Pelodiscus sinensis: one gene and its partners. The protein of the gene in region 1 purifies or fractionates together with the protein of each later gene. This does not show direct contact. Links are inferred from orthologs where the notes say so. Each region holds a gene or a part of one and is shown in the gene's direction. Other genes may lie near its edges. The genes, in order: FHL2, CNOT1, EYA3 and TNKS1BP1.

What was found.
Region 2: the proteins of FHL2 (region 1) and CNOT1 purify together in Homo sapiens (affinity purification with mass spectrometry; 3 studies listed by BioGRID and IntAct, with this or other methods). This does not show direct contact. The link is inferred for Pelodiscus sinensis from reciprocal best matches to the Homo sapiens genes FHL2 and CNOT1.
Region 3: the proteins of FHL2 (region 1) and EYA3 purify together in Homo sapiens (affinity purification with mass spectrometry; 3 studies listed by BioGRID and IntAct, with this or other methods). This does not show direct contact. The link is inferred for Pelodiscus sinensis from reciprocal best matches to the Homo sapiens genes FHL2 and EYA3.
Region 4: the proteins of FHL2 (region 1) and TNKS1BP1 purify together in Homo sapiens (affinity purification with mass spectrometry; 3 studies listed by BioGRID and IntAct, with this or other methods). This does not show direct contact. The link is inferred for Pelodiscus sinensis from reciprocal best matches to the Homo sapiens genes FHL2 and TNKS1BP1.

What each region holds. Positions count from the first base shown.
Region 1 is NC_134711.1:233,436,306-233,444,226, reverse strand, and holds the start of FHL2 (four and a half LIM domains protein 2), read left to right. Parts: upstream 1-4,910; 5' UTR 4,911-4,979; coding exon 4,980-5,018; intron 5,019-5,502; coding exon 5,503-5,679; intron 5,680-7,921. UniProt on the Homo sapiens protein: May function as a molecular transmitter linking various signaling pathways to transcriptional regulation. Negatively regulates the transcriptional repressor E4F1 and may function in cell growth.
Region 2 is NC_134722.1:46,505,949-46,513,189, reverse strand, and holds the start of CNOT1 (CCR4-NOT transcription complex subunit 1), read left to right. Parts: upstream 1-4,235; 5' UTR 4,236-4,394; intron 4,395-7,241.
Region 3 is NC_134735.1:23,086,729-23,094,558, reverse strand, and holds the start of EYA3 (protein phosphatase EYA3), read left to right. Parts: upstream 1-4,812; 5' UTR 4,813-4,960; intron 4,961-7,830. UniProt on the Homo sapiens protein: Tyrosine phosphatase that specifically dephosphorylates 'Tyr-142' of histone H2AX (H2AXY142ph). 'Tyr-142' phosphorylation of histone H2AX plays a central role in DNA repair and acts as a mark that distinguishes between apoptotic and repair responses to genotoxic stress.
Region 4 is NC_134714.1:128,191,924-128,199,329, reverse strand, and holds the start of TNKS1BP1 (182 kDa tankyrase-1-binding protein), read left to right. Parts: upstream 1-4,401; 5' UTR 4,402-4,558; intron 4,559-7,406. Other genes in the region: FACT complex subunit SSRP1, read left to right, coding at 1-71, 156-224.

The sequences.
Region 1 (7,921 bases):
GTTTAACCACCTTGACAGTTGGAAAGCTTTTCCTAATAGCCAATCTAAACCTCCCTTTCTGCAATTTAAGCCCATTGCTTCTTGTCCTATCCTCACGGGTTCTGGAGAATAATTTTTCTCTTTCCTCCTTGTAACAATTTTTTAGCTACTTGAAGTTTCACACTGAAGTATACATCTTTTTTCTCTGGCCTATGAAGAACAGGTTGCCTGAGAACGTTTTTATTCCTTTGGAGCTTTATTTATGATTTGGAAAATTGCAGAAATGAGTTTTTATGGTGGGATGGGCTTATTTATTATGAATGTTTTTGATGAGACCAATATTAACTGTTGCAAATAACATCAGTATTATTTTTAATTTGTATTATGGTAACACATGGAGGCTTCATTGTGTTAGGCACTGAATGCACACAAAAAAGACAGTTCCTGGCCCAAAGAGCTTATACGCTATCCATGTTACCAGACAGGAAAAAGGAGTATTAGATGAAGAATAAAGCAATCTGGTTACGTCTAGAGTGCAGCACTTTTCCGGGATACCAGAGGTATCCCAGAAAAACAATACTGTGTCCACGGAATGCATCCGCTTTTCTGAATTTTTTTTTTCAAAAAAGCGGATGCTCTCTTTCGCCATCCCTGTAAACCTCATTCTATGAGGCATAAGGAATGTGTTGAAAGATCAGGTCCTTCCGAAATTTGGTGCCATATAGATTTGCCAAATTTTGGAAAAGCCTCTTTTGAAAGAAAATCAGGAAAAAATACACAATTTTCAGTACACAAATTGCATATCTTTTTCCGATTTAACTCTGCAGTCTAAATGTAAGCGGGGGAATGATCCCGCTATTGTGGGGAACTTTCCTGGCTTCTATACACCCCGGTGAAATGAACCAGCAAAAGGATCTGAGTCCCCGCTCCCACTTCCTTTACCCCATGGCTCCCTGATCCTGAGGGCTCCCCCTCCACTCTCCTGAGTAGCAGAGCCCTTGAAACCCCAACAAGGCTGGGCCCAGGTTTCCTGGGGCTTAATCCCTGACCTTGTAGTCACTAGGGGCAGGAGTTAGGGTGTCCCCACTCCGAGGTGCTCTCTTTACACTGCAGGCCTTCTTGGCCCAGTGATCACTTCATAAGGTTCAAAGCAAATACAATTTATTAAACAACAACTGGTTAAAGAGAAAAGAATAAGAAAAAAATGAGAATGGTTAAATGAGAACACACAGCCCTGCTCTGTAGCACAGGGACATCAAAACAGCAGCCTGCAGAGTGTAAGGACAGTCCACAGTCTCTTCCTTAGAGGCCTTGGATGTGCTGCGGGGGGGGAGGGGCTGCAGGCTGGACACGCTTGCTCTGGCAGTGACCACACAGCCTCAAGCTCTAAGTGGCCAGACCCCTCTCCCAGTCCAGAGCCTCTCCCCACACTTTGCAGTTCCCAGCTGCTCACCACATCCAGCTGCAGGCTGTGCTGTGTGGCCAGTCTCTAGCTTCTTGCATTGCTTCTCTGTTCCTTTTGGCTCTCTGAGCACTGCCAGTCTGCTGCTCAACACAGGGTCTGCGCTCTTTGAGCTGTGTGTGTCTGGCTCAGCTGCTGCAAAAACTGCCCCTCAGCACACAGCTTGCACTGCTTGGGCTGTCTCTCAGCTCTCTGTTCCTTTTGCAGGACTTCTTCTGCACACAGCTTGCTTTGCTTGGGCTGTCTCTCAGCTCCCTGTTTTTGCAGGACTTCTTCACACAGCTTGTACTCCTATTTCAGCTCTCTGTCTTTGTAGGACCTCTTCTGCACACAGCTTATTTGTTCAGAGAGAGAGCCAGAACAATCCCAGCTCACAGGGAGGACGGGGCCTGGCCTCTCCCCTTCCTCACTGGCCTATCCAACCTGTCAATCAGGCTGAGCTGGAGTGTTGGCTGCTTTCCATTGTCTCTGGGGTCTGTCAGCCTCCTGAACCCTTCCCCCTCTGAAAGTGGGAGCTGGCAAACCAAAAAACTCCCACAGAGTTTTAGTAAGGGGTAACAGTCCCCTTACATAAACATAGCCTCTGATTAGTTTACTAATACCTGCACAAGGAAATTAGTTCCAAATAACCACATTGGTCGAGGGTGTGAAAAAATCTGTGCTGCTGAGTGATGAAGTTAAACGGTCCTAATCCTTGGTCTAGCTAATGTCTCTTGGGGAAAATCCCTTCCCACTGCAGTGTTTTAAGTGTAGACAAGCTGTAAGTATCAATATCATTCACGCATTCTCTAGGCCCCGTCCCAGCTTAATGCCAGTGAACAGGACAGGTACCTGTTGAGTTGTGTGAATCTTTCATAAATCTAAAACAAAATGATGTATTTTTCCATTCTCACATCTCATTGGATAGTCCTTGTTATGATGATATGTGATCATGCTTATGGCATAAGCATTATCAATATGGGAAAAGTTAGAAAAGTGTTATTCCTACAGTACAAAACTTGGGTCATCTGATTAAATTAATAGGCAGCAGGTTTAATACAAACAAGAGAATGTACTTTTTCACTCAATGCACAATTAAATCCTTCTCACAGGATGCTGTGATCGGCCAGAAGTGTAAATGGGTTCAAAAAGAGAATCTAATATGTCCTGGAGGATAAGTTACTCAAGACAATTGCTATTGGTCAAGATGGTCAGGAATGCAAACCCGAACTTGGGATGGCCCTAAATCTCTGAGGGTACATATACACAGCAGGGCAAAACTTGAATTAAGCAATGCAATTTCATCTATATCAATTACATAGCTGAAGTTAAAATAGCTTAATTCAAATTTTGGCACTTTCTACACAGAGGAAGTTGAAAGAAGAACACTATTCCTCTGACTTCTCTTATTTCTCATGAAATGAGGGTTACAGGAGTCGGAGTAAGAAGTCCTCCAGCTCACCATTATTTCAAAATAATGGCTTGCAGTGTAAATGCACACTATGTTATTTTGGAATAATGTCTGTTATTCCGAAATAATGGTTCTACATAGACACACCCTGAAGGTCAGAATATAATAATGGGTCACTCCAACTTCCCTGTTCTCTACATCCTCCCCAAAGCTCTGGGACCAGCCATGGTCAGAGACAGGATACTGAGCTAGGTGGACTATTGGTCTGACCCACTATTGTCTGACCCTTGTGACCTTACTTTTTGTTTCTTTCTCCTGGGAGAAGAGACTGTGAGTGTGTCCAGAGTATTATAGAATAGAGATGGAATCCATTCAACTCCCCAAATCTAAACATTCCTGAACTTTTGGGAAGTTTTGGTCTTGATCCCAACTTCATGAGTGAGTCCTGTCTGAACCAAAACTTTAGCTCTGAACTTATGAGTCCCAAACATTGGGAGATTTTGCAATTATCTTCCTTCTCTTTAAAGCAAGGGACTGTGGGCTTGAGAACCTCAGTTGAATACTGCTACAGATAAGAAAGATGGACACTTTTGTTATTAGGACCCAAGCCATTTAAATCTTCATTTGGGAAACCAACTGGAAAACAGCACAGAATATGGTGCACAGGTGTAATGCAGTCCACATGAGAAACTACTTCATAGGCAGGCAGTTACATTCGGCAGTAATTTTGAATGGTTTTAAGGTGTAGTTGCAAGCATGGGGGGTTGGTGCTGCTGGGGCTGAGGGAGGCAAGCCTGCAGCCCCTCCTACAACCCCACCCCCTCTGCTGTGGAGCAGCATGCTGAAAGCACCCCCTCCCCCAGGAAAGGAAAGAGGGAGAAGGGGGCATGTGCACACGCCCAAGCCTCCCCAGCCCCTGGAACACTGGGGGAGGGAGGAGGCCATGTGGTGTGGTTCCTGCCACCCTGGTCCCCAGAATACCAGGGTAGGGAGGAGGACACATGGCAAGGTGTCTGGAGCACCGGGGGAGAGAGGAGGTCACATGGTGCAGGGCTTTGATTTGCTTTGGGAGTCTCCTTGGCCCTCCAGTGACAACACAACTCTTCCCTCTCTTAGTGTACCTTAACTTCTTTGCTCTCATAGTATTGGAGTGTCCTTCTCTTATAGCTTAATATATTAATTAGCCAAGGTCACTAACATATGTCAGTTGAATTACTATGGTTATCTGTGGTTAGGCATCTGCTAATATGTCCTCCAAAAATGTTCTAAAGATGATAGGTACAAACTTCTTGCAACATTTGTGATTGTTAGAAGACTATACACAGAGTCTTATGCCATCTTGTGACTTAAGATCATTGTTAGTTTTCTAACTTATAATAGCTTACTATTGATCAATTATCCTTAGGCAGGCTGAAAGGACTCACGCTAACTGCTTAAGTTATCCTTATCGATCTAGGCCTACAAGTCTTGCACCTGTGCTGTCAATTCCTTACCTCTCTATCTTATGATTACTGCTATAATTACTGTACAGCTACTGGAGAATAACTGAATCCCCAGGTTGCAGCCTGCTCAGCATTCCCAGAACTATAGACAGTTGTGCTGGCTGCACCCCACACGTAAAAGCTAGTTTCAAATCTGAATGAGATAATCCAAAAAATGGCTTGAAAACTCTTCAGCGCAAGAAATGCTCAACTCTGTCAGTGGATGAAATGGCTCACTTAACCAGGTTGTTCACCAAGCAAGACCATTCTGCTGAATCAAACTTTGCCGGCATTAGGAAGAAAATTTCCCATGGGCAAATTATTTAATTACTGTCCATTATGAGGATGCTTGCACCTTCCTGTGAGGCATCTGATACTAGACTCTGTCAAAGACAGAGTGCAGGAGTACAAAGACCAGCTGCTCTGATGCAGCATAGTTATTGCTGTGTTCCTAATTTCCCTTCACATGAGGATTTAATTAAATAATAAAAAGTGTTGAAATTACTTGCCATTAAATTAAGTAAATGTGTGGTACAATGCAATAACACTAAACGGGATATATATCATCTTGTTTCTTTCAATGGAGTTAAAGGTAACCTTACTATATTTTAGAAATGTGCGTCTGTCGGTCTGTCCGTCCATTTGTGAGTTCATTTGTTCAAGAACAATGGGACGCGTCTGGAATTTGATTATTTCTCATAAAATGGTAAGTGAGAAGTCTGATAGAAGGGACAGTTATACTGTAGAATGACCACAGGGGGGCAGCAAGGAGCCAGAAATGGGGACTGGGGTAGCTATAACCCCACTGGGCCAGCAAGGGGTAGGAGTGGAGAAAGGGATAGCCAACTACTATATATTTCAGAGAGTTTGTCTGTTTATGTGTCTGTCTGTGTGTTTGTCCCCCAGCTGGAGGACATGCACCACTCCCCAAGCTGTGCCAACTGCAACTGCAGCAGCCATGATCAGACACTTTTCACCTGGCCTCAAGCTACTACTTTGAGAAAGGGCTGGGGTTGTCCTCTCTCCCCAGGGCAGCCTGAATACTGAACCTCTTATCCTCAGCCCCACCCCAGAACAATGATTAAAATTAAGAAAAACAAAACTTACTTGAGTTAAGGACCAGAGCAATGCCAGGTAAATCTTCTAGTAAGTCATAAATCTGAACCTGCTTGTTTTCTTCTTCATGACAGATCAAGAGTCTAGACACCAAAATGACTGAACGCTTTGACTGTCACTACTGCAAGGAGTCCTTGTTTGGCAAGAAGTACATCCTGCGAGAAGAGAGTCCCTACTGCGTGAAGTGTTATGAAAGTCTTTACTCCAACACCTGTGAGGAATGCAAAAAACCAATTGGCTGTGATTGCAAGGTACTTTGGACTTGCATTTCATTGACATCACATCTGTCAAAACAGATAGGATAGGTCCATTCCCCACACGGGATCACTACAACACTACAGGAGAAAAGGGATCTGGGTGGAAGAGATCTGTTTCATAACATCTTATCATAGAATCATAGAATCATAGAATAATAGGACTGGAAGGGACCTCGAGAGGTCATCGAGTCCAGCCCCCCGCCCTCAAGGCAGGATCAAGCTCCGTCTACACCATCCCTGACAGATGTCTATCTAACCTGTTCTTAAATATCTCCAGAGAGGGAGATTCCACCACCTCCCTTGGCAATTTATTCCAATTTATTAATTAGGTAATTAAGAACCTGACCTTCCACTGTGCTAAGCACCTCCTTGGAGAACCATGGGAACTGAAGATGCTCAACATTTTCCAGGAAGTGCTTTGATCCAGATTCCCAAGAATATTCATTAATTTTGAGTGCCTCACTTGATCATGGTTTGCCTCATTTTTCCAAGGTGCTGTGTAATCACAGTTCCTATTGACTTAGTGGTTTAGATGCTCAACACTAATGAACACAAGCTTTCTATGGTTCTAATGTTGGGCACCCAAAGAGTGAAATACCAAAAATTATAGGGTCGCTTTTGAGAACTTGGGAGTTAACCTCTCTGCCTCAGTCTCTCCTGGGGTTAAAAGAGGCATACTAATAATTACCTGTTTTACACAGCTAGTGTTCGGATGATTTGAATGCAAGTGAAGTGCTTCAGCTGAAAACTGGAGAGTACTTTTTACCATCTAGAAGAAACTTAAAATATCAGCCTTGTATTTGATAGGCTAAAAAATGTTAATGAGTTTCTTTCTGAATGATACATATTGATATTTTAACTGTTCATTTAACAGTAAAAATATTACTCAAGTAACACTAGGCAGAAGCTATGAAAGAGACAACATGCATGTCCCATACACTCTTGCAGCAGAAAATGTCCATAGAACTAACTTAACTGGCTACCCAGGAATTCCCCTGTAGCAGGGTGGACTCACGATTGACAGATCTCTTTGCAACTGAGTGTGATGTAGCAGCTGTTTCCTCCCCAGTCCCCTCTTGCAACAGTCACTATGATGCTGTGGCAGTCTGCCTTGTCTGGTGACTCAGCACTCCAGCCAGGTCTCATTTTAGTCCTAGCCCCTTCTGAGGTACCAAAAGTTCAATAAATAATTCCAAGGCCAAGTCTCTGGGCCCTGACCCTGGGCCTGATGCTCCTTACATCTTTCAAATCGGGATTGTGAATCATCCCTATTCTCTTCTGTCAGGGGAGCTTTACATCACTTTTCCAAGGCCAGTAGGAGAACCCAAGATCAGCCTCTGCCTGGCTTCCAGTCCAGGGATCCTAGAATCAACAACTAAGGTCTGCTTTGCCAGACATCTCATCACAGCCTCCTGCAATTCCATTCTACTATTAGCCTTTCCTCAGGCCTTTCCCTCTGCCATTTCCCAGGCCCTTTCCCTCTGCCATTTCCCAGGCCCTTCAGTTCCTGCCCTTGTGCTGGGGTCTTACCCTAGTACTGTGCCTTCACATCATCTTCCCGGCCTGGACTTCCTGCTTCCACAAGTCTCTCTACGCTATAGTGATAGCAAAGCTCTGTCTTATCTCTCTCTCTCTGCAGTTCCAGACTTCCAGCACTCCATTGCTTCTTCCCAATTTTATCTTTTATTATGCCTTACCTGCCCTCCAGGTACAGCCAGAGGAGTTAACTGACCTCTCAGACACACGCTAATGCTTTCACCACATGTGTGGGATACAGACTCCCATCACATCAGGCCTCTATGTGCGTGGGGGGAGTGTGCCAAAGGTGTGAAGGAAGAATGAGGGGCTCTGTTGGGACAGTGGGTCCAGAGCTCAAGCTCAGCCACCCTCCTTCCCCCCATAGCAGGGATACTGCGCTGGTACTCCAGCCTCGCCCTCCCTCCCCCAACCCCACACTAGATTGGAGCACCAGTGTCAGCTTCCCATGGGGGGGGGGGAAGGGGAGGAGGGAAGAAAGCCCTGAGCTTCGCTGCATGATCCAGCTCATGGGGAAGAAGCACTTCTGCTCCCCCTCACCTCGGTGGGGGAACAGCAGTGAGTGGGCGTGCTGCTTGGAGGGTTTTACCACTGCTCCCATTGGCTAGAATCTGACCAATGGGAGCAGCAGGAGGCAGTGCCTGGGAGCGGCACGGAGCATGAAGGCAAGTAATTGCCCCCCACCCCCTCATGCCCAGAC
Region 2 (7,241 bases), on another chromosome or scaffold:
TGTAGAACAATAAATGAAATAAAAATCTGGGTTTGTTTTTTAATGCAAGACTTAAATGCTGAGCCTCAGTTGACTCCTCCTCCATACAGGCAGCTTCTCTAAGGGAGACTTGCCCCACAAGCTGGATCTGGGCTGCAGGTTCTCCACCCCCACACCGAAGGTGTTTGCTCATCACTGCCGGATGCTCTCTTGGACTTGTGGGGAGGGGCGGGTGCACTTCTCTCACCTGCCACTCTGTGACTAATAAACCAGGAATTGCTACAGGAGCTGGATCATCTCTGCTGCAGAGCCTCCTCCCTGTTAAGCTGCAGGGATCCTGGCTTGGGTCTCTGTATTTCAGAAGCTGGGGCTGGGTGACGGGTGGGATCGCTTGATGATTCTCCTGTTCATTCCCTCTGGGGTATCGGACCTTGGCCACTGTCAGAAAACAGGGTCCTGGGCTAGATGGACCTTTGGTCTGGCCCAGTCTGGCTGCTCTTGTGCTGGGCCAGGAGTGAAAGACGGGGGGCTGGCTTGTAGAAGCTCCATACTAAGGTGGCAGGTTGACTTACTCTGCCCTTGGTGTAAAGGCTAAAGACTGGAGGCTGCTCTGTTTCTCCTAAAGGGCCGGTATGTTGGTAAAAGCAGCCGGGACTGCGGTGTCCTAGGCCCAGGAGGCAATAAGCGTGATGCATTTCTTCCCTTGGGGCCTCGCGCTGCGGGGGGGGATTGCTCAAATCCTGTGTACAAAGCTGTAACAAACAGGCATGGGTGGTGCTCGGCTGAGCTGGTTGGGGCTAGCGGGGGGTGAGGGGGAGCACGTGCTGTGCTCCCAGGCTGTCATGCTAAGCATTCCCAGGGAAGGGCTGGCTGGCCGCCCGCTTATGGAAAGTCCAGCTCAGAGGCCCCGCTTGGTACCGGCCGGTGTTCCTGGGGCTCAGGGTGTGAGCCAGTGTATTGAAAAGCAGACGCACCTGATTCTCTCTCATCCGGATCCCCTACCTGTAGCCCATAGCGCCAGCACAAGGCAATTCTCCATCCCTCTCAACCCATGCTCCTTGAATTCACATTTCCCCACCCCTCCTTCCTGTGCATGTTCTCTGAGCAGCCTGCTGGGTGGGGATACCTCTGAGGAGCTGACGTCCCAGCTGCATTAGGCACGTGGCCAGCCTGGGTTTTTCAAGAGTGACTTAGACACATAAGTCCTATTGAAAGTCAACAGGGCTTGTGCTCCCAACTCCCTTTGTCATGCTCAAACACACAGCTGCCTCCTGCTGACAGTGGCAGGCCTGGGGTAGTGGTGTGATGAGCACAGCTCCCTACAGACAGATGGCTACTTCTGCTTTCCCTGTGCTGGAGGAGGGGTTGGAAGCTTTTTAAAGTGCATTCGGCAACAGCAGCAACTTGCTGGATGGGGTGGGTGCCTTCCAAGGAGAGGGGGATGCAGGTGTAACACTGGTCACCTGTGGGTGGAATTGAACCTGGGACCTCTGGAGCCCAGCACAGGAGCCTCTACTGCAGCAGTGGACAAAGGGCCCTCTACAGGCCAGATTCGGCCCACCAAGCCAGTGAAGTGGGCCTGCGGCCGCCCTGCTGCCCCCACCATGCTGGGGGTGGGGAACAGGCGAAGTCTTTCGTGTCTTGGCCCCACCCTACCAGGGGCACACAATGGCTAGAGAAACATGCCAGCTGTTTTAAAGCAGCTGGCATGTATCTCTAGACGCTGCACGCTCTTGTGGGGACCAGGAGACTTTGTCTGCTCCCTTGGCCCTGATTGGCTTGGGGAGCGCGTGAGGTCTCCTCCCACTGGGTGCCTAGAGGGAACTGCCAGCTGTTTTAAAACAGCTGACCTTTCTTTCTAGGGGACAGGGGAGGGAAGGGGAAGATTTCCCCCACCCCAGGCCAATCAGCATTTTGGGGGAAAGCACAAGAAGTCTCCTGGCCCCACCCCTTCTGTCCAAGGTTCTGCTCCTTCCAGGGTGGCCTGGGGTCACTTCTGAAATTTCTGAAGTGGCCCCCTTTTAAAAATTATTGCCCTCCCTCCCTCTTCTACTGCACGAGCTAAAAGCTAGCTGTTAGAACAATGAGTCTGCTCTACAGCCTTACCTATCTGTATGGGTCTTGGTGCCACTGGAAAGGATAATGCACTGCACCCAGGAGAGACGTCTTCTAGTAGAGGAAGTGGGTCCCAAGCTTCAGAGACATCCCATTTGAAATCCCAGAGGAGCCCCTATTTGCAGAGGTGATGGATGATGTGGGTTGTTGGGAGGTGGGCTTGAGCCTGTGATCTTAGGGGCTAGGGATTTTACTGGAAGGGCTGCATTGCAATTTGATAGTTCCATGATCCTGAGTAAACTGACCTGGGCTCTGAAACATACTTTTAGTTATTGGTAGCCAGAGGACTCCACCATCACCGACAAAAACAAAGCTATTACTTTCATTTTGTGAAGACATTAGCAAGTGACAGGACACGAACTTGTTCATCATTACTTTTGTATGATTTTTTCCCCCCTATGAAAAATGGTTCATATAATTGGTTATAAGATAGTTATTAATATAATCAAGCTTCTCCTATAAGTTGTTCCATTTCATGGCTATCCTTGCTGGCATTTTGATTACACTATTTGTATATAGGACAATTTTTAACAGGCTTACAAATGCTGGCAGAGTAAATACTAGCCAAAAAAAACCCCCAATAATCATCACAAAAGTGAGCTTTGTTTAGATAAACTATATACAGTAATGTAATAGTCATAGCTATTGAACAGGGTGTTATCCATTACAGAACAAGTGTCCACATCTTGTTTCTAATGGTGTTTTCATAAAATTAAAGCTTTTATTATACATATTTAGCAAGGACATTTCTTAAATATTAGTAAAAATATTGGCTAGATTTTTAAAAAAAATGTGAATATACTTTGTGAGAGTCAATAGCAACAAATATTTACATGTCCCCTATTTTGCTTAGTATGTAATTAGTGGTAATTTTTCGTAACCAGAACCTTTTATATTTTTAAACCATTCCTAGTCTAGAGTTTCAGGGGGTAGCTGTGTTAGTCTGTAACTTTAAAAATGAGTAGACCTGTAGCACCTTAGAGACTAAAGACAATATATCTGTATCATGAGCTTTCGGGGGGCAAAACCCACTTCTTTCAGATGAGATGATTTTGAGATCATCTCGGCTGAAGCAGTGGGTTTTGCCCATGGAAGCGCATTGCTCCAGAGTGGCACCATATTTTGTTTTCCATGCTGGCATTTCCCTAGCTCCAGGCACTGACACACACCCTCACGCCCATGCGCTGCTCCGTGCACTGGTTCTGGATCCAGAGATGCTGTGGCTGGAGGGGGACCAGGCCTGTTTCTGCTATGCACCAGCTGCCAGCCCAAGCCAGGCGGGGCTGCTGCCTGCAGGGATTCTGGTCTCACACTGGTTTGACTTCAGGAGTGACTCCTGCTTTGCGTTGGCGCGGGGCAGGGCGCTGCCTAGCTCAGCAGGTGCCAGGCGCTCCAAGCCTTTGCCATGTGCAGACCAAGAGGGGCTGGCTGGAAGATCATGTGACACTGGGGGAGGGGAGGGGAGAGACTAGAGCAAAGTGGCCTGTACCATTATATAAGCCTCACGGGGGTGTGTGAGAGAACAGGAAAGATGCAAACAACTCCTACCACTACAGAGGTACGGGGGGGGGGAGGGGTGATGGACTGAACCACTGTGGAGGTACAGTGGGGTGGAGAAGCCTGCCCGCATTGTTGTAGCGCAGGTGGACTGTACCATTGGGCTCTCCGCCTACAGAAGGCACATGCCGTGCAACATGGGGTGGCGGGCGGGAGATGTTGCCCCTCACGCTAGGGCTGGGCAGCCACTCCTCTTCCCCAATGACTCCGCTCGCCCTTTGCGGCCTCCTTTACTTCCCCTTCCTCGCCCAGCCGCGCTCCTCTTCCATTGGCCAGACCCGGGAGCGCAGATGCCTTCCCCGAACGCTGATTGGCCACAGCGCCTAGGCGCAGGAGCCCTGACCTTTGATCTGCCGACGGGAGGGAGGAAGGCTTCCTTTTCATTAACCAATCAGCGTCCGGCCTTTGCTTTGGCGCAGAAACGCAACGCTCCCCTTTCTTTCCCGAATGGACGCCGGTCGCTGATTGGGTGGAACCCCCCCCCCAGCGCAGGCGCCTTTGCCGCCTGCCTGAACTGTGATTGGGTGGAATCGCGTACGCAGGGGAGGACGGCCGCGGCCCCGCCCTGCGCGTGGCGTGCCGCGAGGGGACTGGGGAGGGGAAAGGCCGCGACGTGAGCGCGCGACCCCGTCCGCCATTTTGTATTGAAACCAGCAGAGGCGAGAGGCTGAGAGGGGATAAAAGCGCGAGAAGCTGACCGAGGCGCCCGCTCTGGCCCCGCGACCCCCGCCCTGCTGCCTGAGGTGAGCGCTCCGACGGGCCCGGGGAGCGGCTGCGGAGGCCCGGCGCAGCCCTGGGCTTGGGGGCCGCGGGGCCCGGAGGCCAGGCGAGCAGGAACCAACCGGAAGGAGGGGCGCTTGCGCGGTGGGGGCTCTGGGGCGGTGCTGAGGCGCTCGGGCCTAGGCTGGGAGTGGACCCGGGCTCGGGGGCAGTCGGCGGCCTGGGCCTGTCGCGGGGACCCCGCGCGCGTCGGGAGGAGGCGAGCCCCGCCCCCGTCTCGAGTTGGCAGCAGGAGCGGGGGGGCGCGGGTGGGTTTGGGGGCCGGAAGTTCCCGATAGCAGGAGCCCCGCGCCCCAGCCGTGTCCGGGGGCCTGTTTGCGCCGCGCCGCCGCCGCCGCAGGGCTGGGCGGTTCGGGCTGGTCCTGCCGCCCCGTGGGGGGGGGGGGGGGGGCTGTGCTCCCGCTCCCCGTGTCCCTGCCCGGGGGGGAGGCGGGGAAGAGCAGAAACTTCCCCTTTCTCCTGCGCGCTTCTCTGAGGCACCAGGCTCAAAGCGCTTGCTAGCAGGGAGCCCAGGACAACCTGCCTCTTCCCTGTCGGGTGAAGAGGGTTGGACTTGGGCAACCCCTTCCTCTGGAGCTACTTTTGCATCCGTATGAGTAACCGTGGTTTGGAGTGGGTTGGAGCATGCCTTTGAATACTTGTCCCTCAGTGATCGCTTCTAACCAGCAGCTACATTTGTTCTCTTCTTGGTAGAATACATGTTTGCTAAAGGAGGGAATAAAACTAGCTGGCTATTTGGTGGAAATGCAAAATATCGATTGATTATTTTTTTGGTCCCTTGCCTCTTAAAAGTGCCCTATTAAAAAGCAGTTTTATCAAAGACTATATCCTCATTTAAACATACTTGAAACACACAAATGGTGCTTGTTTATAGGTTAGTGTAGTGGTTTTCAACCTGTGGGCTGCTTGCAGCCAATTCAGTGCACAGCTGCAGTTCTCCATATGGCTTCTCAGGGCCATGCAGGTAGAGTATATATGTTGCCTGGATGTGGTCCAGTGTAACTACAGATCCAGCCCACAATAGAGAACAGGTTAAAAATCCCAGTGAAGTAGAATAAGTCTTGAATATTTTAAATGTCACAATATACAAAATGCAGTTTTGGCTTCAAGAAAACTTTTTCTGGGACAAACTAAGTTAAGGATTTAAATAAACTGTTGGGCATTGTAAACAGAGACTTGCATTTGTAGCATTCCCCCCCTTGCATCTGCTTTGTAGAGCTGCTCTTTAACTCTAAAACTTTGATGATCTCTTGAATGGCAAACCTGACATGGATTCTTGGAAAGTCTAGTAAAAGGCAGTCTTGAAGAAAGCCCCACCGTTTATAAGAGTGCTATTATATTGCCTGGGTTGATGAAAAATAAATTCATAAAAATGGAGTACATGTTCTTATAGAAAGTACTGTGAAGGCATGGTCTCTAATTGTGGCTAAGTTCAGAGTACTAAAATATTTAGCTATTGAGCTGAAAGGAAAAAATCTTTCCAAATATTTCCATTAACAGTAATAAGCAGCTAACTAGCATTTGCCTAGCTCAGAACTAGAACACTTAACGCACTGTTGTTTTTAAAAATAGCTTCCTTGAAATGGGTGTTCCTTTCTTGTGTAATAGCCTTGTCTTCCTGACTCTTGAAACTAAAAGGTGACTGCCAGCTAACTTTAACAAATCACAAAAGATTTTGTTCAGCACACAATTGCGAAAGGAGCGAGATGTGATTTACAGTGGCTTTACCTATAATGAATGGATGTAAAAGTTCACTATACCATGACAGTCAAATATGGATTTAGTACATGCAACTTAAAAGTTTAAAAGCCTCCGGTTTTGTCATCTGTTTGGATAGTGCACATGCTTTGTCTGCTCTACTTCAAGGACTCTGTGGTGGAAACCATGAAAAGATAGCAGCAGCTGTCAGATTGTTAAGCAGATAGTGAAATGCAAGGATTTCTGTATATATGGAGGGAATTCTATATACGAAGAATGAATTGTCATAAAAGTAACTTCAGGATGCTGCTTGTTGCCAGGGTAGCAATATTTTGGATTGAATAAGATGAAGGCAAAAACTAGCCCAGATGAGATGCCTTGTAAATAGGAATAGAGAGGTAGCCGCTTTAGTCTGATACTTCTAAAACAAAAGGGAAAAACTATGTAGCACTTTAAAGACTAACAGGATGGTTTAATAGGCGATGTGCTTTCATGGGCCAGACCATGAAAACTCATCACCTATTAAACCATCTTGTTAGTCTTTAAAGTGCTATGTAGTTTTTTCTTTTGTTTTTGTAAATAGGTGGCAGCCTTCTATGGCTGTGCAGCAATGTACTTTCTGGTCCCACTCCTGCATCTTGAGTTGGTATTGTCCTACACTCCGTCTCCCTATAAATATGGCTCTCTCAGCCTGACCCACATCCTGTTGCCAGACAACTCCATCTTTCTTTCTGGAGAGAGCATTGTTCTTGATCATTCTTCTAGTCAGTGTTTACTTTAAAATTGTATTTACTCATTCCAATCCAGATATTAGTTTCCCAGTAATGTGACTAAATTGTCATGCATGTGGCTTATGCAGTGCATTTTTTCTTGCCTTAAATGCTTAAGCAGTAAGTGTTTTGTAGTTAACTTAGCTTTGAAGCATATTTTCAGTTTCTTCCTTAACAGTCTTTTGTAGCACTAACAGGGAGGATTGGGCAATATGACCATATTCCAAACTAGTTTAGTAATTTTGCTCCTCCATGTTTCTTATGTAGTATCTTACGGAATTTATATTCCTGAAGTGGCCTCACATTTTTTGGGCTCAGATAAATCTCTAACCTCCACATTGG
Region 3 (7,830 bases), on another chromosome or scaffold:
GGCTTTGCTCTCCGTCTCCCTGGTCTGTAGACCAGGGGACGGGGAGTAAAGCCGCGGAACACGCAGGCAGCGGACAGCCCAGACGCGTCTTTGCTTCCTCTCCCTGGTCTGCTGGAGACTAGGGAGATGGGCCCCATTCGTAACTGCGGATCTGTTGGATCCGCATAACTCGGGGACTGCCTGTATTTCGGAATAACTATTCCAGAATAGCTTGTTCCAAAATAAGTGTGCAGTGTAGACGTAGTCTTACAAGCCACAGAATCTCTCCCAGTCACTCCTGGAATAGATCTATAGCCTCTGGCTGAGTTCTCAAACAGTGATTTAAAGACAGAAAGTCCACCATTTATTCTAATTTAAACCAGCAAATGACTCCTGCCCATGCTGCAACAGAAGATGAAAACTCCACCCCCCAGAGGAATATTTCTTTAACAATGAACAGATGTTGAGCAACTGGAATAGTATTTAACCTTCATTTATTTCCTCTGGTGCAGTGGAAACTACAACTAAGATCTACCAACTCACAAAACCAGGTTACCCTGTCTCACAGTGGTCACGGGCAGCTATCTTTTTATTTTTTTTAAACCACCAAAGTGTAGACTGGTCTCCAAACTTTTTACACCCAAGATGGCTTTTTAAGCCAAGATCTACCCCATCCTTTCCTGGAGACTCTGCCCCACCATTCCCCTTCTCTCCATCACTGCCTGTCCCCAGCCCTTACTCACGCTCACTGAGTTGAAACAGGAGGTGCGGGCTCTGGGGTGGGAATGAGGGATTTGGGTGTGGGAAGGGGTGAGAGGTGCAAGCTCTGGGAGGGAATTTGGGAGCAGGAGGTGGGGGAGAAGATGATGTTGACTTAGGGAGGGGGCTCCAGGCTGGAGAGTGTTGGGGTCAAATGAAGGGTTGGAGTGCTGAGGGTGCAGGAGTTTGGGTTGGGCTGTATGAGGGGCTCAGGGCAGGGGCATTGGGAGTATGATGGCTCAGGTCACAGATTTGTGGCGTGCGGATGGTGCAGGACTTGTGGCAGAAGACTGGGGATGTATAGTAATTTGGGATTGTGGGGGGCTCAGGGCAGGAGATTCAGGTGTATGATAGGCTCAGGGTAAAAAACATAGGAACAGCAAGACTGGGTCAGCACAACAGTCCATCCAGCCCAGCGTCCTGTCTGCCGACAGTGGCCAATACCAGATGCCCCAGAGGGAGGGAACACAACAGGGAATCCTCATGTGATCCCTCCCCTGTCACCCATCCCTAAACAGAGGCTAGGGACACCATTCAGCCCATCCTGACTAATAGCCATTGATGGACCTAACCTCCATGAATCTATCTAGCTCTTTGCTGAATCCCGTTACAGTCCTCACCTTTACCACATCCCCTGGCAAAGAATTACACACGTTGACTGTACAGTGAGTGAAGAAACACTTCCTTTTGTTTGCTTTAAACCTGCTGCCTATTAATTTCATTTCGTGACCTCTAGTTCTTACATTGTGGGAATAAGTAAATAACTTTTCCTTATTCACTTTTTCCACACCACTCATGATTTTAGAGACCTCTATCATATCCCCCCTTAGTCTTCTCTTTTCTAAGGTGAAAAGTCCAAATCTTTCAAATCTCTCTTCATATGGGACCTGTTTCAAACACCTAATAATTTTTATTGCCTTTTTTTGAATCTTTTCCAATGCCAATATCTCTTTTGTGAGATGAGGTGATCACATCTGTACGCAGTATTCAATATGTGGGCGTAGCATGGTTTCATATAGAGCCATAAGATATTTTGGTTGGTGTGTGTGTGTGGGGGGGTGCAGAAGTGTTATGATTCTGTGGCCAGATTGTGGGGGAGGGGTTGGCCCCAATTAGGGGCTTGTTGGCCAGGCTTCATTTTTAAATAAAATATTATGTCCAACAAAAAAGGTTTCATCATTGTCATTATTTGTGGGAGGGGCAGGGAACCTGTTTTAGGTCAGGGGCTGCCAACCTACAGAAAAATCGGTTGAGGACCACACAAGTGAGATGCAAAAAAACAACCCCTCCAAACCTCACTGATGTGACCCCAACTGAGACTCCTCACTCTCCTGGCATTCCAACCCCCTGGGGAAAGAGAGGGTAGGTAGGACTGAGGTTCAAGACCTCAGGCCAGATTAACTCTTCTGGGTGTTCCAGGGTTGGTCGGATTTTGTAAGCTCCCCTAGGTTCTGGGGTGGAGCTAAACATGAGGGATCCAGTGAGCAGGACAGGACTGCCAGTGAGCAGGATAGAGATGGGGGTGCAGAATCTGGATTATCTCACTCCCCAGTCTTAACCAGGATTTGCATATGGCAGCACTTTTGTTTGGAGTAGACCCTGATTCCCTTCCTGTGGAAAAGTACCAGGTGACATGATCACATGACTCTGTGATGTCAAAGGAGCATTCCCGCAAACTTCTCAGGAAGGAGTGTGATTACTACCTTTAAAGACCTATTGTCCTTCTTAATGTCCCATCTAGACTAACTGCATACTGTCTGAAGACGTGAGTTGTGCCCATGAAAGCTCATGATACCATCTACATCTTCAAAGACATTTTAACACCAGACTTGAAAAAGAATCCTCTGAACTGACATTCATGCTTAAATTTGACACTTTATGCCAAGGTCTCAACAAAGATGCTAATTATCTTACCCATTACAAAGATAGCTTCCCCAATTATCACCTCTAATATCATTAGCTCACAGACATTTACCTCCCCCCTCCCCCGCATCCTCCCTCTGTTCTGAAATTTGATTTGTCCTTTTCATATCCCTTTGGTATATCTGGTCATGCCAATTTTCTTCCACAGTTTGATCTGAGGAAGTGGGTCTGGCCCACGAAAGCTCATCACCTATTAAACCATCTTGTTAGCCTTTAAAACGCTACATAGTCCTGCTTTTTGTTTCATCTACATCTTTTGTTAGTCTCAAAGGCCCTGCAAGACTATTTGTTAAGTTTCTGCATACTGCCTGGTGGACCTTACTCAAAAATAAACCACAGTTGTGATTGTTGCATAGTCAATAATTCTAACTTCAGATACAGAAACAATGTATGCATACAAATGGGATAATAGTTAGTAAACCATAACCTTTCCTTGACCCATCTTGCATAAAACATAGCTGAGTTATGCCACATTCAGATCACAAATATAGCTCTATGAAGAATATGAAGCCTAGGGTCACAGGCAGTAGAGGACAAATGGTTATAGAGAAAATGACTGTTTAATTATCGTAGAAAGAATCAGTATTGTGAAGAGGGTTTTAATGTGTTTTACATTGTGATTTCTGGTAGGTGAAGTCGACATTGAAACACAACCTTGCCTCCCAAGAGAATTGACAATTGTAGTCCATGATCTTAAATACTCTCAGAGACCACTGTGATACCTATTTATACCGATACCTAATTATACTGGGTGTGTCTAGACTAGAGTTTTGTCGACAAAAGTATACCTGCGTCTACACTACCGCTGAGTTCTGTCAACATAACGTCGACAGAACTCAGCAGTTTTTTTGATGATGGTAAACCTCATTTTACGAGGCATAACACCTTCTGTTGACAGAAGGTGTTATTGCATGTAGGGTTGTGTCTAGACTACAGGGTTTTGTCGACAAAGCAAGCTGCTTTGTCGACAGAACTGAATGTAGTCTAGACGCTCTTTGTCGACAGAAGTTTTGTCGACAATATCTGTCAACAAAACTTGTCGACAAAATCCTGTAGTCTAGACGTACCCACTGAGTGGCCATGTATTCCACACAGTGTCATACCTGACATCAAACTAATGTGGAGAAGTAGAAGAATTTTACACCAACTCCGCCTGAACCAATTCAATGGCACCACCTACAATTAACATGACCTCACATAGATTTATAAGAAAAAAGAATGATCTGACTGAACACCTCACAAGGTATGAAAACCTAATCTTAGGAATTACACTGCCTGTCTCAAAAATAATTAACTGTGAAATCCTTGACATCACATCGTTCTACTCTCTTCACTGCTGAAGGGACAGGAATACAGTCCCTGAAATCCAAACACCAAATAGCAATCAGACCAGTAGATAAAAGGTGTGCCATTGTATTCCTCAATGCTGATGACTATGTTAATGAAACCAACTGATAATTCTGACACCACCCATTACAAAGATAGCTTCCCCAATTGTCACCTCTAATATCATTAGCTCACAGACATTTACCTCCCCCCCATCCCCCTTCTGTTCTGCAATGTGATTTGTCCTTTTCATGTGTGTTCATTTTTTTGATTGTACCCCTTGGTATCTATGGTGGTGGCTGTTTTCTTCCACTGTTTGGTCTGAGGCAGTGGGTCTGGCCCACGGACGCTCATCACCTAATAAACCATCTTGTGAGTCTCTAGAGTGCTGCATCGTCCTGCATTTTGCCCCAGCTGCGTCTCACTCGCCTACACTGGAGGACTCAGGGTGCCCCCGTCGCGATGCAGCGAATCAGGATGTTGCCCAACGCCCCTAACAGCGTCCCGAGGGAATGGCCGCCCACCCGCAGGGCCCCGCGGAGCTCGCAGGCGGGGGGGGGCTGCAGGGAGTCACTGCTCAGAGCCCCTCGCCTCAGTCACCAGCGTCCCCGGACACCGGCCCGCCGAGCCCGGGACCCAGAGCGGCCGGGCCCGCTGCAAACGGGCAGCTCGGGTCTTTTCGGCTCCACGAGTTTTGCTGCTATTGGGGGGGAGGGGCCGTCACTGCCCCTCCCCCAGCCCCCGCGGAGCGAGGCTCGAGGCTGGCGGACAGACCCAGCCCTGCACTAACCCCACCCGGCCGAAAGGAGGCGCCGCCCCGCCCCGCCCCGCCCCGCCCGCGTCACTTCCGGCGTCACCGGGTTCTGCTTCCGGGTCCTGCTGCCCTGGCTGGGCTCCGAGTTGAGCGTTCCTGGTGCTGACCCGCCGCCATGTCCCCCGCGGGGCGCGCTGCCGGGCCCGGGGCCGCCGCACGGTAAGAGGCGGCTGCCCGCGCACGTGGCCCCGCCCCTGCCGGCAGGAGTGGTGCTGCCCGGGCCGGGGGCGGGGGAGCCCCCCTCCGCGTGAGGGGCTCGGCTCGTTCCTGCCCCGCTCGCAGCCCGCGGGCGCGTCGGGGGCCGCACGTGGCTCCGCGCTGGGGCAGGCGGGCTCGCCCCTCCTCTCGCGGGGCTCCGGCCTTTCCTGAGGTCGGTCCGTCGCGCCCTGCTGGTGCCTGGCCGTGCGCTGCCACAGGCCTCGGGGCTTCTCCCGCTTGGTCTGGGAGAACTCACTGGCGGCTTCCTGGCTTCAGCTCTGTGAAATCATCACTGGCCTGTCAGTCTACACGTGGCTGTTTCCATTTTGTGGCCGTCACTGTGGCTGTGTCTACACAGGCACGATCTTGCACAAAGTCTTGCGGCCGGTCTACACTGTCCGTGAGTTCTTGTGAAAGTGAATGGACGTTCTAATGTGTGAAATCAGGGCTTCTTGCACCAGAACTCTGACGCTCCCACTCAGGAATAAGCCCTCTTGCACAACTGTTCTTGCACAAGAGGGCAGTGTAGACAGGCAACGTGAATTTCTTGCACAAGACAGCCCGATGGTTAAAATGGCCATCAGAGCTTTCTTACGCAAGAGAGCGTCTACACTGGCATGGATGCTCTTGCGCAAAAGCACATGCCAGTGTAGACGCGCTCTCGTGGAAGAGTTTTTGCACAAGAACTCTTCCAAATAAGAAAGAGTTCTTGCACAAGAAGCTGCTCGTGTAGACATAGCCTGTAGCAAATCCTAGATACTGGCTGACTAATTCTGAGCCCTGATACATTTACTACAGGTTGAATCTCTCTAATCCAGCACACTCTGGTCCTGCAGCATCCGTGGTCTGGCATGATTTTAGTTAGCCACACATACCAGGGCTATGAACAGGTAACCAATTAATCAGTTACCTGTAAGTCTAACTTCAGAAGCGGGCAAATTAGTTGAAACAATAGTAAAGAATAAAATTGTGAAGCATGTAGAAGAACATAATTTGTTGGTTATTTATTAGTTCCCATAATAGAAGAACTAGAGGACACCAAATGAAATTAATGGGTAGCAGGTTTAAAACTAATAAAAGGAAGTTCTTCTTCACACAGCGTGTTGTCAGCCTGTGGAACTCCTTGCCAGAGGAGGCGGTGAAGGCTAGGACTATAATAGAGTTTAAAGAGAAGCTGGATAAATTCATGGAGGTTAGGTCCATAAAAGGCTATTAACCAGGGGATAAAATGGTGTCCCTGGCCTCTGTTTGTCAGAGGCTGGAGAGGGATGGCAGGAGACAAATCGCTTGATCATTGTCTTCGGTCCACCCTCTCTGGGGCACCTGGTGCTGGCCACTGTCGGTAGACAGGATACTGGGCTAGGTGGACCTTTGGTCTGACCCAGTACGGCCGTTCTTATGTAGCATTACCCCATCTAGGTGAAGCTTACAGGGTACTAATTCACCAGTACACAGAAGTGGCCCATCACAAGTAGGGATGTTAAATATTGGTTAATTGAATAATTGAGTAACCTCATGAATTCTTAATGGTTAGTCGATTAGTCTACAGTCCTTGGGGGCAGGGCCAGCAGCCAGTGTGCTCCAGCCTCACTCCCAAGAAGACCCCTGCCAGGTGGGTACTGATCTGTGAGGAGAGCGAGTTTTTAAAAACTAGCTCCTTTGCGGACTGGATGCCTATTGCCTTGTGCTGCTGCCTCTAATAAAGGGGAAAGGGGCAGCTGAAGTGCCAGCATTTGATAGCCTCTTGGCCATGTCAAGATCACTTGTCAAAGGCTCCAAGATCTGCCAGTAGATCCTGATCTACTGGTTGGTGAGCACTGGCTTAAGGCAACTCTCTTCTCCTTACCTTTCTAATCCTATCAATAGCTTGACTTCAGGGTTTGTGACAGAGACTGCTAGTTTGTATTAAGTGCTACTCTGGTCAACACACATCTGAGACTAATGACAATTTTTCTGCACAGGGAACTAACTGTCTGCAGTCCTGATCCTGCCAGCTGGTCTATACAGACTCTTCTGTCCATGTGGCTCTAAAAGAGTATAAAACAATCTATCAGTAGAGATCAGCTTGCAGTATCACCACCCAGGATACTACATAATGTGATGATGTACTGTAATGATTAATGGGGGGGGGGGGTTGCAAAGATTATAGCAATATTTACTTTGGCCAGTAAGACATACACCTACCTCATGGGGTTTGCAACTAGATGTAAAGGCGTGAGGAAGCTAGGGAGGGCTAGATATACTAGATGTGGCCAAAGCATCAGGCAAAGTACCTTCTCCCACTTCCCCCTTCTTTAATAGCAGCATTTGTTGGTTTGCAGAGTGTACAGACAGGGAGATAGACACCAAGGCAATAGCTGTAGTCAAAGTGGCCTTATCTGGATATAAACTTGTTCTATCTTCTATCTTGGACACTGCCTCCAGTATAGAAAGTTAGAGCATGTTGAGAGCATGGATGGAATAAAATATCAAATCAAGAATTGGGGACACTGTCCTGACTGCAGTGCTGTGGCGGAGGGCTTATTCCATGGCTATAAATTATAGCATAAATTATATTTCTGGATTTCTGCATATAATTTATCCCCACCTCTAATATCATTAACTCACAGACATTTACCTTCCTTCCTCTCCCCCCCCCGCACATCCCCCTTCTGTTCTGAAATAAATTATATTTCTGGATGCAGAAATCCAGAAATATAATTTATGCTATCATGTGCCGAAAGTGTCCGTCTGCTATGTACATTGGACAAACGTCTCAGACACTTCGCCAAAGGATCAATGCCCACAAAACAGATATTAGACAGGATCACAAAGAAAAAACAGTTTCTTGC
Region 4 (7,406 bases), on another chromosome or scaffold:
CGCTGGGTGAGAGCTTCAAGAGCAAGGAGTTCGTCTCCAGTGACGAGAGCTCTGGCGACAACAAGAAGGAGGTAGGTGCCGGGCAGGGCAGGATGGGCCCAGCCCGACGACTGTGGGGGGTCCTGTGTTAACCTGCTTCCCCTCCCCCCCCACAGGACTCTGAGGAGGAGGAAATCGCCAGCACGCCCCCCAGCTTGGAGGACTCTGCATCTGGCTCGGATTAGAGCTGCCCTGCCCCCTCCCTCCCTTTAGCCCTGCCCTGTTCCGGATGGCACAGGTCATAGGTCGCTGAGGTGAGAACTAGACTCCCCTCCCCCTATCCCTTCTGCCAGGGGCGGGGCTGGAAGGACGACACAGCTGCCCCATTGACTGGACCCAGCCCTGCTTCTGGCCCTTGCTTGCCCCCTTCTCCCTCGCGGGGCTTGTGCTGAACTCTGGAGAACGACGGGGTGCTAGAAAGCAGGGGAAGGGGGTGCACCTCCAAGCTGCCGGAGCCCCACTAGGCCCTAGCAGGGGGCCCTCCCAGCGTGCTGCGGGGAGCCGGCTGGGCGGGGTCTGTCCCCTGGCCTGTAGCCGGGCTCCCTCAGCATTTTTTATGTTCTGTTTATTTTTGTATTTCTCGTCTGTTCACGTGGCAATTGGGTGGAATAAAAACCAAGCGACTTTGGGTGGAGCTTCTGTCTTGAGTGTGGCTGGGGGACAGATGGCCGGGTCTCCCAGTGCAGAGGGAGCAGGCGAAGCCCCACGGGGTGGTCGTCTCCTCCCCACGGCCGCATTGCTGGCTGCCATCCACAGGAGCGCTCCTGCGGTGGGGTGGGGCTGAATTTGGGCCAGTGCCTTATCTCACTTCATTCCAGTAAGCTGTGGCCTTAACGGCATTAAAGGCCATCGGACACCTGTGGGAGCTGCCTAAGGAGGGAGGCGGTCGATAGCAATGAGGTTTAGTCAAGTGTTAGGGGCTCCCTCTTCTCCCCTGTCTGTGGCCTGGGCCATTAACAGGCTTAGCCGGCAGGGAGGGTTGTTCCTAAGATGGCTTTATGTGGGGGAGCCTGCCCCATACCTCCCAGTGGATGCTGGGTCCTGGAGCGGAGCACTTCCCCTCTGCCTCCTGGCCAAACCCCCCAGCCCGCTCCTGCACCTTACCTCCTGCCCTGGGGGCAGCGTGGGGGGCTCAGAGCCTCATCGCTGTCCCTTCTGGGCCTAGAGCTCTGCCCAGCTCGCACTGCCCTGAGGGTGGGGGAAGGGAGCGCGAGCGGCGGCTCATTCGTCTCCATTGCGGCCCTTGCTGCCAGGAGAACTAAGCCAAGCTGGGGGCAGGAGGCCTGATGTGATCAGAGCCTATTACCGGACCTCAGTGCTCCATTAAAGTGTCTCTGCCCCCCACTTCCAGTCACCTGTGCGTCAGCCCGTGCACTCTGCCTCGCTCTAATTGAATCAGCCCGCAGCGCCGAGAGGGCAGAGAGCCCTGTTGGCCTTGGGAGGGGGAGGAATGCGCCCCAGGGGCCGTGGCTTTCATAACCAAGGCTGGAGCAGGTTAATTGTGCAGATGGAAGCTGGCCCTCGCGGGAAATCCTCCGGGGTCCCATTTCCTTTGGCCTACTTTCTGTGGGTTATTTACCAGAAGTGCTCAGCTGCCAGGAGTAAATGGGAAGGCAGACTGCAGGCAGCCACGGCAGTGCCTCTCTTCGCGCACCGTGTGCGGCACTAGGGCCGGGCCCAGCAAGGGCGTGGAATCGAAAACCAGAAGGGACCTCTGACCACCGGGATGTGACAGCCCCTACATCCAATGCCCAAAATCAGACCAAAGCATTAAGCCGCCAGAGACTGGGCCAGTCCTCGGGCCACAGCGGCTGTGCCTTTAATCCTCTACTGTCACATCCGGCTGGAGCGTAGGGTAGACCCGACAGCCTCTGCCCTTCCTGCATTTGTCCTGCGATTCCACCGCAGCTGGGCCTACACTGCTTTGCCCTGGGAGCTGGGCCATGTAAGCAGCTGCCCACGTGCAACTGGGAGCTTTCAGGAGGTGTGGCTGCCTGGCAGGGCAACATGCAGAGATGACTAGAGTTGGCTGCCCTTTGGGATGAAATTTACAGTGAGACTTCCCAGGTGCTGTGTTAGGTTCTTCCTCAAGGCAGGGATGCTCAGCTTTGGTCCTTGGGGACTCCACAGCTATGTCTACACTGGCAGGTTCTTGTGGAAGAACCTCTTGTGCAAGAACACGTCCACACAGCCATGTGCTTTTGCGCAAGAGTATCCATGGCAGTGCGGACACTCTTGCATCGGAAAGCTCTGACGGCCATTTTAGCCATAGGGCTTTCTTGTGCAAGAAACTCCTGCTGCACGTCCACACTGCTCTCTTGTGCAAGAACGCTTGTGCAAGAGCGCTTACACTTGTTAGAAAAGAGCGTAGCTGTTGCACAAGCAGCCCTCTCTTCCTATGCTTAACTGTAAAGCTTGTGCAAGAGTTAGGGGGCCGTGTGGTCAGTGCGCAAGAACCTCCGTTCTTGTGCAAGAACCCACCAGTGTAGACATAGCCTAACAGTCCAGGACTTCAATCCAACCTGTCTTCATCTGAAGAAGTGGGCTGTACCCACAAAAGCTCGTGATGCCATCTACATGTTTTGTTAGTCTTTAAAGTGCTGCCGTGCTATTTGTTGTTTAAGTTTATTATGTATGGAAAAGAGTTGGCTTTAAAATCAACACTGCATACTACTGAGTATGAAACACTTAAATGCCCTGATTCATACTAAAGTCTATGGCCTGTGAAAACTTTTAAACAGCTGGGCTATGTCTACACTGGCGGGTTCTTGCGCAAGAACCTGCAGTGCGTCCACCTGGCCCGCCTGCTCTTGCGCAAGAAGTTTTACAGTGAAGCGTGGGAAGAGAGGGCTTCTTGCACAAGAGCTACGCTTTTTCGAATAAGTGTAAGCCCTCTTGTGCAAGAGCTCTTGTGCAAAAGGGCAGTGTGGATGTGCGGCAGGGGTTTCTTGCGCAAGAAAGCCCTAAAATGGCCATCAGAGCTTTCTTGCGCAAGACAGCATCCACACTGCCATGGATGCTCTTGCGCAAAAACACGTGGACGTGTTCTTGTGCAGGAGCTCCTGTGCAAGATGTTCTTGTGCAAGAACCCGCCAGTCTAGACATAGCCAAGTAGTCCTGTGGCACCTAAGAGGCAAACAAATATATAGCTAGTATCATGAGCTTTTGTGAGCACAACCCCCTTCAGATGAGATGAAAGCTCATAGTACTACAAATATGTTTTTGTTCCTCTCTGAGGTTTTTAAAATTACAGACTAACCTACAGGTGCCCCCAGAGAGACTTTTTATCTCTGGCCTATAGGGATTCTCTATGCAGTGTAACTGAAAACCAGCAGATTTGAATAAAAATAATTTGCTGGTTGCAACAAAACCTTAGATGGTTGGAGATCCCCCCAGGACATGAATTGGTCGAATAGGGTTTACGTTTTAAACTGTTGTTTTGCAGAACCTGCAACCTTTCAGTCAGGTCCTGCTTGTTGTTTGGACAAGCTGTGTGCGTGTGTGTGTACACACCTCCACTCCCCTCTTTACCCTTGCTGCCGGCAAAGCCTGTAATCTCCCTAGTTAAGTACGCAGGCTTGGAAAATGGCTTTCCCAGTTCTAAGGCCTCTGTGTGAGGTCCCGAGAACCAATAGTTTAAATCTTTATCTATTTACTCACACTGAGTGAGAGGAAAGTAGGAATGTGTGTGACCAATAGCCTACTAGTGCCTGAGTCTCTGGACATGCCTGAATATGGGTGAAACAGAAAAGGGGTTTAGCAGATATGGACAGACATCCTCTGTCCCAGCTATGGCCCTGGTGATTGCAGGAGAGGTTAATTAGGGAACAGACTTACAAAGTGGGCTGCCTGCAAGGGGTTTGGAGATTCCTGCCTCTGGACCTGCCAGTCCAGCATTAAAAGCATGCCCCTCTTACAGCCAGGCTGCACTGGAGAGTTTTAGGGGCACAGGGGACAAGGCTGGGTGAATAATGAAGATGTCGCTGGAGCTGCCCAATGAGGGCTGCAGTGATTTTAATTCCCAGGGGGGCTACTGACTCTGGAGTTACCCCTCCCAGCCTGGGCACGGGGGGGGGGGGGGGGCAGGCAGGCAGGCATGGAAGTGCCTGGCATGTTACCAGCTCGGTTGAACACAGACACGCCCCACATGTGAGCCTGGGGCCAGGCGCGCCCTCCCCACCTCGGGGTCCTGGCAAGCAGAGGCCGGTTCGGGCGGGAGGGGGAGGAGGAATGAAAAGGGCAGGCTGTAATGATCGAGGGGCGGGTATTCCAGTCACAGCTGGGGGGTGGGGGGCAGGAGCGGGGCCTCTCTAACCCCTCCCTCCACGGCACATCCTGCCCCATGGGTCGATGGCTTCAGCAGGGTGACACGTGGGAACGGGCGGTGTCCAGCGCGGGTGATTTGCATAACTCATGAATATGCAGCAGAGGGCGGAGGACCGCCCCGCCCTTGTTTTGCTTCTCATGAATATGCGCGGGGGGGGGGGGGTCGGGGCGGTGCCGCGCGGCGCGGAGCCCGGTGAGGAGCCGCCGGGACCCGGGGAGGGGGCGTGTGCGGGGCGCGGGGCTTCTGCCTTGGGGGGTGGGTGCTGAGCGTGCCCGGGGCTGCGGAGGCGTGTGCGGGCTGTTTGGGGGTCCCGTGGGCGGGGTGACGGGGAGGAACGGGGGGGTTGGGGTGCAGGGGCGATGCGGCTCTGCGGGGCGGATGCTGGCCGGGCTGCAGATGGGGGGAGAAGGGGGCTTGGGGGTTTGGAGACGTGGGGAGTCGCAGAAAGGAACGCTCAGCAAAGTTTGTGATAACAGCTGTGGGGCGGGGGAGCTGCGGGGGGGGGGGGGAGGCGCTGGCAGCAGGGAGGGAAAAGGGTGGGCGAGGGGCAGCCTATGGGGTCCCCCTGCTGGCCGCAGTGTGTCACGGAGGGGGGGGGTCGCAGTGCGGTGTCTTGGGGGTGCCCCATACTAGATTCTCTTGTCTCCAGCCGCACCCAGGGGCTGCTCCGGGCTGTGGCCAGGGCCTCTGCCTGCCCTGGAGGATTCACACTGATCCCTCCCCTCGCTGACCCTTCCCTTGGGCCCTTGCCAAAGCCGGGCCCTGGACCAGCTCCTAGAATCGCCTCCGAAGAGCTGTGTGAGGCTGTGTCCCTGGGAGCGGCCAGTCTTGTCACTGTGCCACCCTCAGCCACCTGGCCCTCCGCTTGATGCCCTATCGACCCCTGTGCCCTCTTTCCTGACCACCCACCCCCTGCACCTCCATCCCTTCTCCTCTCCTGCTCCCCCTCTCTCCCCTTTCCTCACCCTGGCTTGGTTATCCCCTGGCTACGTAGCTAATCAGATTCTCCTTCCTGCTGGAGGAGGAAGGCGAAGGCTCAACTTTGCCTTTCACTCTCCTGGATTCTAGCTCCAGGTGAGTGAGCGCTTAGCTGGGCTGGTCCCTAGATTTGCAGGTGCCAGAGTCCCTGCAAGCAAGGGCCTTGCCCTGTCCATTACGCTGCACTGTTCCCTTGAGCCGAATGGGGCCCTCTTGCACTTGTCCCTTTGCCTTCCCCAGGCTTGGGCCTGGTCTGCTCCACAGAGTTGATCACATTCTGTCAGTGTCAGGGTTCCCACTGACAAAGCCTCCGCTACACCGACCTAATATCTCCACCTTTACAAGAGGCCTAGCGCTTAGGTCGATGTAGTTAGTATGCTGCATTACTTCTATTGCCTGGAGCTGACAGCTGGAGCCTCCTCCCCTACCCAAATTTTTTAAAAAAAGTGTTTGGGGGTCCCACGGGCAGGGTGAAGGGTAAGAACAGGGGGTGTAGGGGTGATGGAGCTCTGCAGGGTGGATGCTGACCAGGCTGCAGGTGGTGGGGAAGGAGGCTTGGGGGTTTGGAGGCATGGGGAGGAGCAGGAAGAAATCACAAATTTTGCAGAGTGTAACAGCTGTGGGGGGAGGTGCTGGCAGCAGGGAGGGGGATAGGAACACCTGCAGGGAAGAGGGTGGGGGGGAAAAGGCCCTAGCTCTGAGCTGGTGGCTCATTTTCTCAGTAGGGGTTCAACCAGCAGTGAAACTAACATTCTTGTCAGTTTCACGGCTGGTATTAGTTCACAAGGTGCCCTGCAAGAGCTCCTAGGGGAGATGCGCACCACCAGTAAGGAAGGTAGCATAGACACCAACAGCTGATTCAATCGCTGTGGAGGTTGTAGGTCAACCTAATTGAAGTTGACTGAATTCTGTGGTATAGATAAGCCCTTGGTCTCCTACGTGCCACCTTTAGCTGTGACCATGACTAGCTGCATGTCCCTTTAGACTCCTCCCTGCTCCCTCCCTCTGTCTGTCCTAAGACAGCTCTTGGCTTGAACATGAGGTGGAAGTCCTGCCTCAGAGGCCTGGCAACTCTTGGGTATTCCCTCCTCTGCTTCAGCTTGCTTGCTGCTTGCAACTTAGGGCTCCTCGTGCCTGAGCTGCCCTCCATCTCCCAGCCTGGACTCCACTTAAAACCTCTGTGCTGTGCTGCAGTGCAGATGCTCTAGGCCAACGGGAGGGAGGTTGGGAGCGATGTGGATCCGAGCAGCTCTCCTTCCGTGCACTCTACCCGGAGGGCTAGGTTGGTGTAATTATGTCCCGCTCAGTGGGGGGTTCACACCCCTAACTGACGTAGCTGTTCTGAAGTCAGTGTGTCGTGCAGACCTAGCCTTACTCCGGCACACTTTCTGCACTCGTCGGTGTGAATAGTCCCAGTGTAGTCATGGCTAGGTGGGCAGGCAAATGCTTCCCTCGGCCACGGTGCTGTGGCCACAAATATGGAACCTCCCCATCAGTCGCTGTAGCCCGTGTGTATGCTACAGCAACAAAGCTACGGCATCTTCGCTGTGACGCCTGTAGTGTGGACAGGGCCTCAGTCTCCTTTGCTTGTTATGTTGTCTGTGAGCTCCACCTCTACTGAGGCTCCTCCCCCAAGATCGCCTCTTGCCTTGATGATTGTTCCCTTCTCCATGTCCCAGCATGGCCAGAAGCTGCCATTCACCTTCTGGCACCTACGCAGAACCCCAACCATGGCTCCCTATTCTTGGACTTCTCCTTTGGGACCGTGATCGGCTGTAGACACGATCTATGTGGTTGGTCCTATTCTCAGCCTCGTCCTATGGCCCCTCTTACAGAGGATCACCCTAGACCAATGTTCCCTCTAATCTTTTCCATTCATGTGCAGAATAATTTTCTGTGCACAGAGGCATGTGTGAATGTGCACCACCAATAGAAACACAACGCCTAGCTGTGGGCACTTGGCTAATCGGTTGGGACTCTGTCTTGAGTGGCCACACAAGCACATGGCTTATATAGGGAACACCGCTGTAGACCCTTCTAAGTCCTATGACTCTGTGAAAAG